Xenopus tropicalis: one gene and its partner. The protein of the gene in region 1 interacts with the protein of each later gene in a pairwise test. Links are inferred from orthologs where the notes say so. Each region holds a gene or a part of one and is shown on either strand. Other genes may lie near its edges.

The links. The genes of interacting proteins can lie anywhere in the genome.
Region 2: the proteins of trim9 (region 1) and vasp interact in binary tests that used the Homo sapiens proteins (3 or more experiments, as listed by UniProt). The two-hybrid records come from large-scale screens. The link is inferred for Xenopus tropicalis from reciprocal best matches to the Homo sapiens genes TRIM9 and VASP.

What each region holds. Positions count from the first base shown.
Region 1 is NC_030684.2:96,141,150-96,146,752, reverse strand, and holds part of trim9 (E3 ubiquitin-protein ligase TRIM9), read right to left. Parts: coding exon 5,508-5,603; intron 1,141-5,507; coding exon 1,030-1,140; intron 1-1,029. UniProt on the Homo sapiens protein: E3 ubiquitin-protein ligase which ubiquitinates itself in cooperation with an E2 enzyme UBE2D2/UBC4 and serves as a targeting signal for proteasomal degradation.
Region 2 is NC_030684.2:70,568,925-70,574,527, reverse strand, and holds part of vasp (vasodilator-stimulated phosphoprotein), read left to right. Parts: intron 1-824; coding exon 825-993; intron 994-2,944; coding exon 2,945-3,005; intron 3,006-4,618; coding exon 4,619-4,656; intron 4,657-4,957; coding exon 4,958-5,202; intron 5,203-5,451; coding exon 5,452-5,597; intron 5,598-5,603. UniProt on the Homo sapiens protein: Ena/VASP proteins are actin-associated proteins involved in a range of processes dependent on cytoskeleton remodeling and cell polarity such as axon guidance, lamellipodial and filopodial dynamics, platelet activation and cell migration.

The DNA.
Region 1 (5,603 bases):
AACTGAAAGTCTGGATTACAAAAACCTCTCAAAAAGTTGGTAACTACCCCCTCTCCTGAAAAGCTGTCTTAGATTTGCCGCTGTACCTCTTAGAAATCCTGCGCAAAACTGTGTCTTGCGAACAAAGCAGGGAGCTTGGAATAACATTACTTCGGTAACGTATGTAGGCCCCCATTTAATCCAATGAGTGGGGGGAAGTCAGGGGGGGGCATGGGGAGCTGTGGGTCTGCATTTATTCAGGAGTTTAAATCAACGAGTGGGGGAACTACATTTTGTAAAGGAAAGCTGCGGGTCTACGTTCTGCCTGATTATGAGGTCTGTAATTTAAATCAACAAGCAGGGAAAGTCAGCGGGGAATTTGATTTTGGAATAATATCACAGGGAAGATCAATGGGAGAAAAGCTACTGGTAAGCACTTCAATGCATTCTATGTGACAAAAATGCAGAGAAAACCACCCATTTTTCGCTCAAAAAAAATTGGAATTAACTTACATTTTGAACAGAAAAAAATGCAGTAAAAAAAATGTTTACAAATTTTTCAATGTTTTGCTAATTTTTTGCAGATTTGTTCATTACTATGTAAACATTGGCCCATGTACAGTCAGCTTTAGAAAATAGAATAAAAGCATTTATTTCTTGTTCATCGTCCTCATTCCTCTATAAATGATTGTATCTATACGCCCTAAAGACTGATCATTTAGGGTTTCTAAGAGATCATGCTCTGGAAATTATGTATACTATATATATAGTAAGTTACATAATAATACACTCCATAATACCAGCCAGCAATGCATCTGTAGTAAATTTTCTATCCCCATCAAAACAACTATAATTTAAGGCCTTGGCCTTATGTGACCCACTAAGGCATTTTATCCACCCCCTTTCAGCATTCTCAAGGGCTTACACAGACGTCTCAGTGTCACACCATTATTGCCATATAATCCTCTCGGCAAACCTCAGCCAAGCAGCCCAGTCTATACAATATGTGAACAACACTAATCTAAAAACAAGAGGCAAATGAGCCATTACCTGGAGAGCCACAAGATTCCTGTTCTGCATGCTGAAGGAATTCAAGTGGACTGGGAATGGAGTTGACTTGCAGTCGAGCTGCAAGTGTAGCTGACATTCTGCGAAAAGGACCTGGGTAGAGACAATATAAAGGAATGTGTGTAGGTTCACACACAAATAGAAATATGGCAGCATCACAGCACAAAGACATAGCAGTGGGCTGTAAGGGAACTGTGTAATACAAAACCCTGATGTCAGAACTGACAAGTGACACAAACATGACAAGCTGACACATATGAACTACCCCAGCATAGCAGGAAAAGCTGTCACCCCTACAGAGAATAAAGGAGCAATATACGCACACATTCAGCTGAAGCCCAAAAAAAGAAGTCTGTGCTGTAAATGTGTTCTGCTCATATCTTCACAAAATCTCTCTATATAGACTAATTTAAACTGTGTTCCTGGGGGTCAATGAAATAAAAGTTGCCAAGCTGGGCCCAAGTATAGTAGCTCCTTAATAAACAATCAGAAGGTCACATTTATGTAGCAAACATCTAATTGGTTACGTTGGTTTGCTAGACCTGGTACAAACTGTGCTACCTTTATGTATCACCTCTATTAAGCATTAAATCTTTTTGTACTTGGGCTCTGTTAACCAAATATAGTACCATAGTGAATACACCCATGGACAGTGGGCTCTGTATTATTATTTCCCTTCTTTACTGTTTGTGCTCTCAGGTGAAATAAATGTCTTTGTTACATAAAGAAAATGAACTGTAAAGCAGAGCTACTTAGATTTATCCCCATCCATCACTACCGCCAAAAAGCTGAGGAGGAAGCAGTTAGCTGCCAACTCAGTCTGAAAGAGCCAAAGTGGCCACCTTTACTATTAAAAAAAATAACATGGTGTATAACAGCTTATTCAGTTACTATATATTATAGCCTATATATATTTAGGCTGTAGGATGTGTGGATATTTGGAAAATATATATGTAGAACTGACCAAAGGAGGGTTGTGCAAAAAGTCTGGATTTTCATATCAGTTCTGGCTGAATGTATTTACCACAGGTTCCCTGTGCCATATTAAGAAGACACAACATTGCTGGCTTAGGCACTTTGCAAAAGAAGATGGGAACTTCTTTAACAGAAGGAGTAAGCATTTTGCTCATGATAATGGATAGCACACTGAACAGAAATATAAAAGCAAAAATATCACAGCATTCCATGAGTTAACTTATTGCAGGAAACCAACAAAACCAAGAACAGCCATAAACCATACTATGACTAGAAGTCCAGAATATACACGATCAATCGAAAACACATCACAGAAATTTAAACATGTAAAAGAACCTACAACCGCAAGAAAACATCACTTAAATATGCACACAGAAAACTGTGAATAGCACTTGTTATGTGCTACGGTATCCGGAAGCTACGTATACAGCAACAAAGAATGGAAGGAATGCATAGAAAACAAGAACTGGGCTGAGTATTGGCCCACAGGCAAACATAATAACATGGAGTCATTCTGAGAAAACACTGCCATCTGTTTAAGGGTTCACTAGCCCATGTGCTGTTTTTTGTCGCATTTTCCAGATATATGTAAGTGCTTATAATATTGAAAAAGGGACACAAATGTAAATACGGTAAGTAATAAAGTAAGTAGGTAATCAAACAGAATGACTCGTGGTGAATTCAGCCCATTTCCATTTTCAGGAGATATGTTGTAGCAGGGATCCCCAATCTTTTATACCCGTGAGCCACATTCAAATGGAAAATGTGTTGGGGAGCAACACAAGCATGAAAAAAGTTCCTGGGGGTGCCAATAAGAGCTATAATTGGCTATTTGGTAGCCCCTATGTGGAATTAGAGCCTATAAGAGGTTCTGTTTGGCTTTACACTGGGTTTTATGCAACCAACTATTGCCTCCAAGCCAGAAATTCAAAAACAAGCACCTAGGGGTTGTTAAGCAACATGTTGCTCACGAACCACTGGTTGGGGATCACTGTTGTATATGGTATATGTTGATAGCAACCTGGTTGTTGGTGACTCCTGGGGGCCTGGTGTGATGATGTACATCTGCGTGGACGATTAGGGCAATGACACAGGGAACTACTTGTAGTCAGCTACTTGTCGCTACTGACTGGTAATAAATTGGTCCTTAATGGGGCTACACATACATAGCTACTAAACTAACATAAGGTATTATATTGAATAATAAACTAAAATCTTGGTTTGCCGAGTGCAAGAGATTATCTTGTCACTCAAATGAGTCCCCAGAAATCCCAATATTCCCTTTGTTGTGCAAGCATAAACCTGGTGGGCCATTATTTCTCTATGCATTTTATCTATGTTTCCTCTAGGATTCCAGGAAATAATTCCACCTGTTAGAGTCAGTTCTTTCCTTCTGTAGTAAAGCCACACAAACAATAAAGCAGACAGCTACACTTTCAGTTGTACAGCACATAGACAATACAAGATAGCTATTCCTTTAAAATTGATACCTACAGGAATAAGTATGCCTTTTGTTGTAAGCAGCAGGACTTTCTTTTCCATAATACATTACAGATACATATGTCCATATGACAGGACTTCACACGACTGATGTACACAAGTTTATTACAACATATACAGGTTGAATATATATATATATGTATATTACATATACAGGTATATTGTAACACTCATAATCAATTCTCGGCAACAAAATAAAAACACTTCTATTTTAAGGCATTTTGTTTGGGGCAATTTATCTGTTACCCTTTACATACACCTACTGTAATGCACCAATGGAACAGATGCCACCCCCACCAACTGAACATATACTGGTCACTTTGTACAGCCCTCTGTATACTTAATTCAATCCTTTTATTTTATATTAGCTAGATGGGCTCCATATAGTGGCCTGGGTGATGATCCTGTAAAAAAAAAACTGGGTAAAGAAAAGGCAGACCGCAAGCTACTCTGATAAAACATTGTTTGCTGATAAAAATGTTCCTTCAATGAAGTATCATACTTTTTGAATTGCCTATCTTTTTTGAGATTTAGATTTGTTCTATATTTGTCCAGAATTGGATATACTGCCAAACAAGAAAGCACAGAACCACCATTAAAGGAGAACAGCAGGACTCCCTTGTCATGACTCTAAGGTACTTGGCATCTTGATGGCACCTTGCTGTGTGTGCAGTGGGATGGGAGTAGCATCAACTAGAAATAATACTTTTCTTAATATTATTCTTTAACTATACATTGTACTATAACATACATTTACATTTAATGAATCCCAACGATAATCTTACACATATTACTTTTTTTAAAAGATATTTCCCTTAAACTTGCCCATAAAAAGAGACCTACATATAACATAAAAGAAACAAGAAAATAGCAGGTGTGTGCAAACAGATGGTAAATGACATTTTATCATGGTGATTTAAAGCTTGATGAGTTTCTATTTTTGATTTAATGTAAGAAATGTAATAGACTGGTGTATTTTTAGTAGCTATTAATGTGTAAAATTCCACTTCACTCTACTCTTCCTGATTCAGGTGACTGTACTGCACAAGAAACAGCACAAAGAGGAGGTAGGGTGCAGGATGCATGTAAAAGGTTTAGTTACACCAACATTGAAAATAGTAAAAATGAAGATATTATTTCTCTAATTTGTGCATGCCCTTGCCAAGAATATGAGTAAGGACTACAATTCAAATTTTGGCCAAATACTACTTCAGAAGATTGGTACTTATCTCTACACAAAATGATGGGTGACAAAAAGTGTTTTAAACAGATTGGTAATTAATGACACAGCAGGTAAACATAACATAACAGATAAAGAGCATAGTTAAATACAATCAGTGTCTTTATGCACACATTTTTTAAGTGTTTATCCATCTCTGGGAGGGATCCCTAGCTTAGACTTTCTCTTTAGGGCTCTGGCACACGGGGAGATTAATCGCCCGCGACAAAACTCCCTGTTTGCAGGCGACTAATCTCCCTGGATTGCCATCCCACCGGCGAAAATGTAAATCGCCGGGGGATGGCATACATTCACTGAAATCGCGCAAGTTGCCTCGAGAGGAATCTATATTTTTGCTGGTGTTAGAGGCCTTTTACCTCATTATACACCTCAACATTAAGGCTTGTTCTTAAGCATCATTTTTAAACAGACCCTATGTAGAAACAGTACATTCTAGGATTTTAACTAGCATGCTTTCTTTCTTTTCTAATTGTTCTATGTGTGAGCATTGACCAGGCAAATGCCTGTAACTTCTAAAGGGGTTCCATAAAAATCTAATTTGAAATTGTGACGTTTAAAAGTACATTTTCATAAGTTAGTACTACCACTATTGTCAGTCAATGACTACAGCAGACAAACAAAGGGCTAAGAGAAAGTAGCAAAACAAATGTTTCATACCATACCAGCATATTCATAGTGTTGGCAAGATAATACATAGTGGTCAAGTGCTGCCCAGAGACAGATATTGCCATATAATTTCCATTACCTTCAGAAGTCTGCAGAACCAGTGTCTTGCTGTATAGGCTGACCCCTGCCTTGTTGAACGCTTTCACTCGTGCATTGTATGTGCTATTAAAATGAA
Region 2 (5,603 bases), about 26 Mb from region 1:
TGTGTGTGACAGCCCTTAGCCTAAAAAACAAATAAAACCAATAATTATCAAGATATAAATTAATTCCATTAATTTAGAAACAGAGTGCTGACCTGGAGGTAAATGATGGGGAGGCATAATGCTGTTGGGTGATATTCAGTAAGAATATTTTTCTTCCCCCACCCCCCTTGTTACACTGCAAGTCTGTGAGGGTTTGTTTCATGTGATTTGGTGCAGCATGTTTGGAATACTTAAAAGCACCCCAGAACTTCCTGTGCAACTACAATAGCAATTTCTGTTTTAGAAAGGTTCAGAGGCTCAGAGAATGTAACTTCACAGGGAAATATGTTTGGCTATTAAAGGGGTTGTTCACCTTAACATTCCCTTTTAGTATGACATAGAGAGTTATATTCTGAAGCAAATTACAATTGGCCTTTCATTTGTGTTTTTTTAACTATTTAACTTATTCAACTCTCCAGTTTGGAATTTCATCACCTGTCTGGTTGCTAGGGTCTAAATTACCCTAACAACCTGGCAGTGGTTTGAACAAGAGACTAGAAAATAATTAGAATGGGACCTGAATAGAAAGTAAGAAAAATTAAGAATAAGAAAAGTTTTTGGATCAGTGACCCCCATTTGTCAGCTAGAAAGTCAGAAGAAAAAGGCAAATAATTCAAAAACTATAGAAAATAAAAAATAAGTTGAAAAGTTTCTAAGAATTGGCCATTTTATAACATATTAAAAGTTAACTTAAAGGTGAACTACCCCATTAAAGTTTGGACATGGTATTAGAAGGAAATCAATTTACCCAACACGTTTCTGCACTCATCTGGCTCTTGTTATAGGTTGTTATAAACTGCCCACTGGTGAGAGGTCTAAAGTACAATCAAGCCACCCCCAACTTCCATCAATGGAGGGACAGCCGTCAGGTGTGGGGTCTGAACTTTGCCAATAAAGAAGAAGCAGGGCAGTTTGCTGTAGGAATCACACAGGCCCTGGATGCACTGGAAACTGGTAAGATAAAGAAACATACAGCCATTTGATATTAAACTACTCTTCCCATGATCTCCACGCAAGATCTTGGATATTTAAAGTTTAGCTAAAGTTTTCAGTGGAATGGTTTGTTACCCTCTCGGCTTAAATGGCAATGTACTCCATTTCAGGTCAATTTCAGTTCCAACAAATAGGACTTCTGTTCTGGGTAAAAAGGGAAAATCAAGTTACTCCATGTTTGGTCCTTACTAAGTAGATTACCTTTGAGTGCATAGATAAATCCCTGCATAAATCCTGAAAATCCACTTATGTACCTTACAAGGGCCAAACATGAAGTTCAATTTCCCTTCTAAGGCCAGTGCCATACGGTGCTGATTCTTGGCCTGTGTCTATGCTGGCATCAGCCTACTACCTTACCTGCATCTGCAAGCATTGTCTCCGCCGGGGGGCAGGCAGACGGTGTGGATATCACCCAAAAGATACAGGAATTCACATTTACAGCTATCTGCAATGTCTGGCTGCATTTGGACAGAGAAAATGCTTTCGGGTACAGGCAAGGTAGCAGGGTGGTGCCAGGGTGTTCTGCAGGCTGAGAATCAGTCCCATGTGGCACTAGCCCTCTAATAAGAAGTCCAGGCTCACTTCTGTCAGTTTGTGAGTTTAAAGATGATGCACTATTGCAGCCTTAGGACACTAAAACATAGAATTACAAGCAGTGGCAATAAAAAGAAAATGCCTTCTGTTCTGTGTGGATTGCTGCCATCTGATATTAATCATTAAGGCAACCCTTTTGTTTTAGGAGTAAGAGCTGACTAAAGCTGTCCGTACAAGTGGCGATCTGACGATGTTTCGTGCGACCATCGGTCACACGAAACATCGTCAGATCCGCCACACACCGTCAGGGCTGAAACAGCAGATAAGGAGGTAGAAACAATAGGATTTCTACCTCCTTCTGTCGATTCAGCCCTGACGGCAGATTTTGGTCAGGCGCCTTCTATGGCGCCCGATCAAAATTTTCTAACCTGGCCAATCGGCGAGTCGACCGATATCAGCAGCCTCCTGCGATATCGGTCGACTCGCCGACATGCCATACACGCACCGAATATCGTACGAAACGAGGTTTCGTACGATAGTATCGGTGCGTGTATGGCCAGCTTTAGTATGTGCCCTTTATGTGATCGAATCACATAAGGCAGCCATACGTACACAAATATTTATAACATTTTTTACTTTCCACTTTCCACCTGACATTGTAATTATATATACATGGGTGGCCTATGGACTGATCTGCTGGATCTTTGGCATTTTACATTACATTTGTGTTGTCACTGCAAAAAAATCCAGTTGACTGTCACACAATATGACCTTTTAAAAATCCAGTAACTGACCTTGTTTTTGCAGAAATCAACTTTTGAACTTATGTGAAATTGCATAGACTGAGTTCTAGGGTTTAGAGCACTGCAATGGCTAAAGAAGAGCTGCTATTTAAAGCAATTTTATCATAGTTATATGTATGTATGTATGTATGTATATATTTTATTTATGTGTATATACAGGTATGAGATGCATTATCCGGAAACCTGTTATCCAGAAAGTTTCAAATTATGGAAAGGCCATCTCCCATAGACTCAATTATAAGCAGATAATTTTGATTTTTAAAAATGATTTGCACCTTGATCCCAGCTAAGGTATAATTAATCCTTATTGGAGACAAAACAATCATAAATAAATATACAATCATAATAAATAATTTTCCTGGGGACTTAAGGCTTGGAGATCCAAAGTACGGAAAGACCCCTATTCAGAAAACCCCAGGTCCCGAGTATTCTGGATAAGTGGTGCCATAACTGTATTAGTAAATATTTATTATTAGCATATATTTCATTTTCCTCTCTTTCTGCCTCCTCTCTGATTCCTCTCAGACATGTGTCTTTTCATATTGCTTCAGCTTCTCTTAATTTCTAAATAACAGGTGCCAGTACGCGGATTCCTCAAAATGGCCCAAAAGTTGAAGAGCCTGAGCAACCCAGAAGGTAAGCTAAGGCTGCACAGTTCTTTTTTTATATTACAGATCCTGCATATTTTTCATTATGACCTGACACTATCTATCTATAGGCCATAAATCTCATGTGTACATTGGGGCTAACTGGGTAAATTGTTTTGTTATTGTGCCTAAGACCATGTAGTCTGTAGCAGGGAAGCTGCTATTACTGTTTCCTTGAATAGGTTTTAATGTGTTTTGGATCAGTAGGATTTATATAAATCATGTTAACAGTAATAAATAAATACCTCCATGGTTCAAAGTATTATTATTATAGGATCTAGTTTGATGGGAGAGCTGCAGACACAATCCTGAGTCTTATCTACTTGTTGCCCTTGTCACCGAAGAAGGGTAACCAGGGCTAATAAAAAGCCATTGATTAATGCTATTGGGAAAAATGTAAAAAAAAATGTTAGAATACAGCTCTGCTACAAGCCACCTCTGCAGCTGCAAATTATTAAAGGGGACCTGTCACCCTAAGAAATAATTCCAAATTCTTTTCTACCGGGTAAGTCAAGCATAATAAACTTCACTTACACTATATAGCAAGCAGGCAGGTGCCATTTTGTTAGTAAGGAAAGCATTGCATCATGCCAAAATCCAAAAAGTAAAAGATATAATTCCTAGAGAGAAGTAGCCAACATTGCTTATATTCCTCTTTCTTGCAGACCTTTTCTTTTTAAACATGTGACAATCCGTGCCAGATTTCTTATTCGGACGCCCCAAGGCCGCCCCCATTCTTCGCCCATACCTCCACCCCCCCCGTTGCTAGCGCACACATTTAACTTTACATACGGAGCACTGGGGAGAGGTCCCCATTGCTCCGTATGGGAGCTAAATTTCAAAGATTAGGTGTGGCGGGGCGGTGTGCTGCCCCTATATCTGTGCCGCCATAGGCCCAGGCCTTTGTAGCCTCGCCACAAATCTGGGTCAGGTGACAATAAAGAAAGGCCTGGATTTTTCTCCAGCCAGAGTCTGTTTGCAAAACTAGCATTTAAGACATGAAAGCATATTGTATTACTTTGTGCCCAAGATGCATTTGCTCACTTTATTACCAAAATTATGTTTATCTGTAGACAAGAGAAATAAGAAAGGTTGTTAAACAGCAACTGAACAGTGGATGATGATTAGGCCAATGGCAACAATTAAAAAAATGGCAATGGAAAAATATGAAAATACACCTTTAAATATTTCTTATAGACAAATAAAAAACTAAGGCATAGCAGCTTTTAAAAGTGTCGTTCATGTTAAAATAAATGTTACTTCCATGATGTAGACTGTAATATTCTATTACAATTTGCAGTTGGCTTTTTTAAATGACTAGTGTGTTGTTCAGTAGCTCTCCAGTTTGGCACTTCAACAGATATCTGGTTGCTAGAAATTGTTGTGGGCTGCTGGGTCAGTGTCCCCCATGTAAAAGCTGGAAACAAGCAGAAGAGAAAGCCACATAATTAAAAGAAATGATTTTCCTCAACAAACCTAAATGTGAACTACCCCTTTAAGTATTAAAAGATTAGAGCTTTGAGCTGCTCTTGAAGTACAGGGTAAAACACTTTGTAATTCACTTGCTTTCAGATATCCTTTATATATTTCCTCTACTTTCAGGGTGCAACAGGAAATTGAGCAGAGGATTCAGAGCCCAGGTAAGGGAAATAGGGGCCGTTCGGCTTTATAGCTTGTATATTTCCCTTTTGCTGTGGGTCCCAGGGCAGAACCTTTATTGTGGCAAAAGATACCATTGCAGAAGTGGGAAATGTGTGGGTGTATATGTTTTTAACAGATTGTTGAGGTATTGAGCTATCTGCACATTAAAAGGCCAACTTTGGGATTTACAGATAGTAGTTATTGTTAGAGTATAAACAATTATTATACTATATACCATTATAATTAGTTTTTAAATGATTGCCCTGCTGAGAGTATCTTCTTCTCTTTACACTCTTCCAGTTGCCCCGGTCATGCCAACTCCTGCTCCTGCTGCTCCCCCTGCACCACCTGGCCCACCTCCTCCCCCAGGTCCACCACCACCACCAGGGGGCCCCCCAGGGGGCCCACCAGCTCCTCCAGCTCCCACTGGAGGTGGTCCCCCACCCCCACCCCCACTTCCATCTGGGGGTGGAGGAGGCTCAAGTGGAGTTTCTGGGGGGCTGGCGGCAGCCCTTGCAACAGCAAAATTGCGGAAAGTGGCCAAGGTGAGAATCAAAGGTTTGACAAGCATTGTATGGGAAGTTTAGAGGAAAATCTATATAGCTATATCTATATACCATATGAGTGAAGTACCATATGATGGGAGTACATATACTAGATGGTAGAAAACATGGAACACTAGGAAGCAAGATAAAATGATAACAATTATAATTGATTAATGTATGTCTGGGGTGAAAGGACAGTCATTTTTATGGACCATACTAGTTTTTTTTTTTTTTTAATTTGTTTTTTAGAATGATGATGCTGGTGGTGGAGGATCCTCTCCCGTTGGTGGAGCACCTGCCAAGCCTGACATAAGTCGCACAAGTGGTGGGGCAGCAACAGGAGGGGGTGGTGGAGGAGGACTGATGGAAGAGATGAATGCAAAACTGGCTCGCAGGTAACC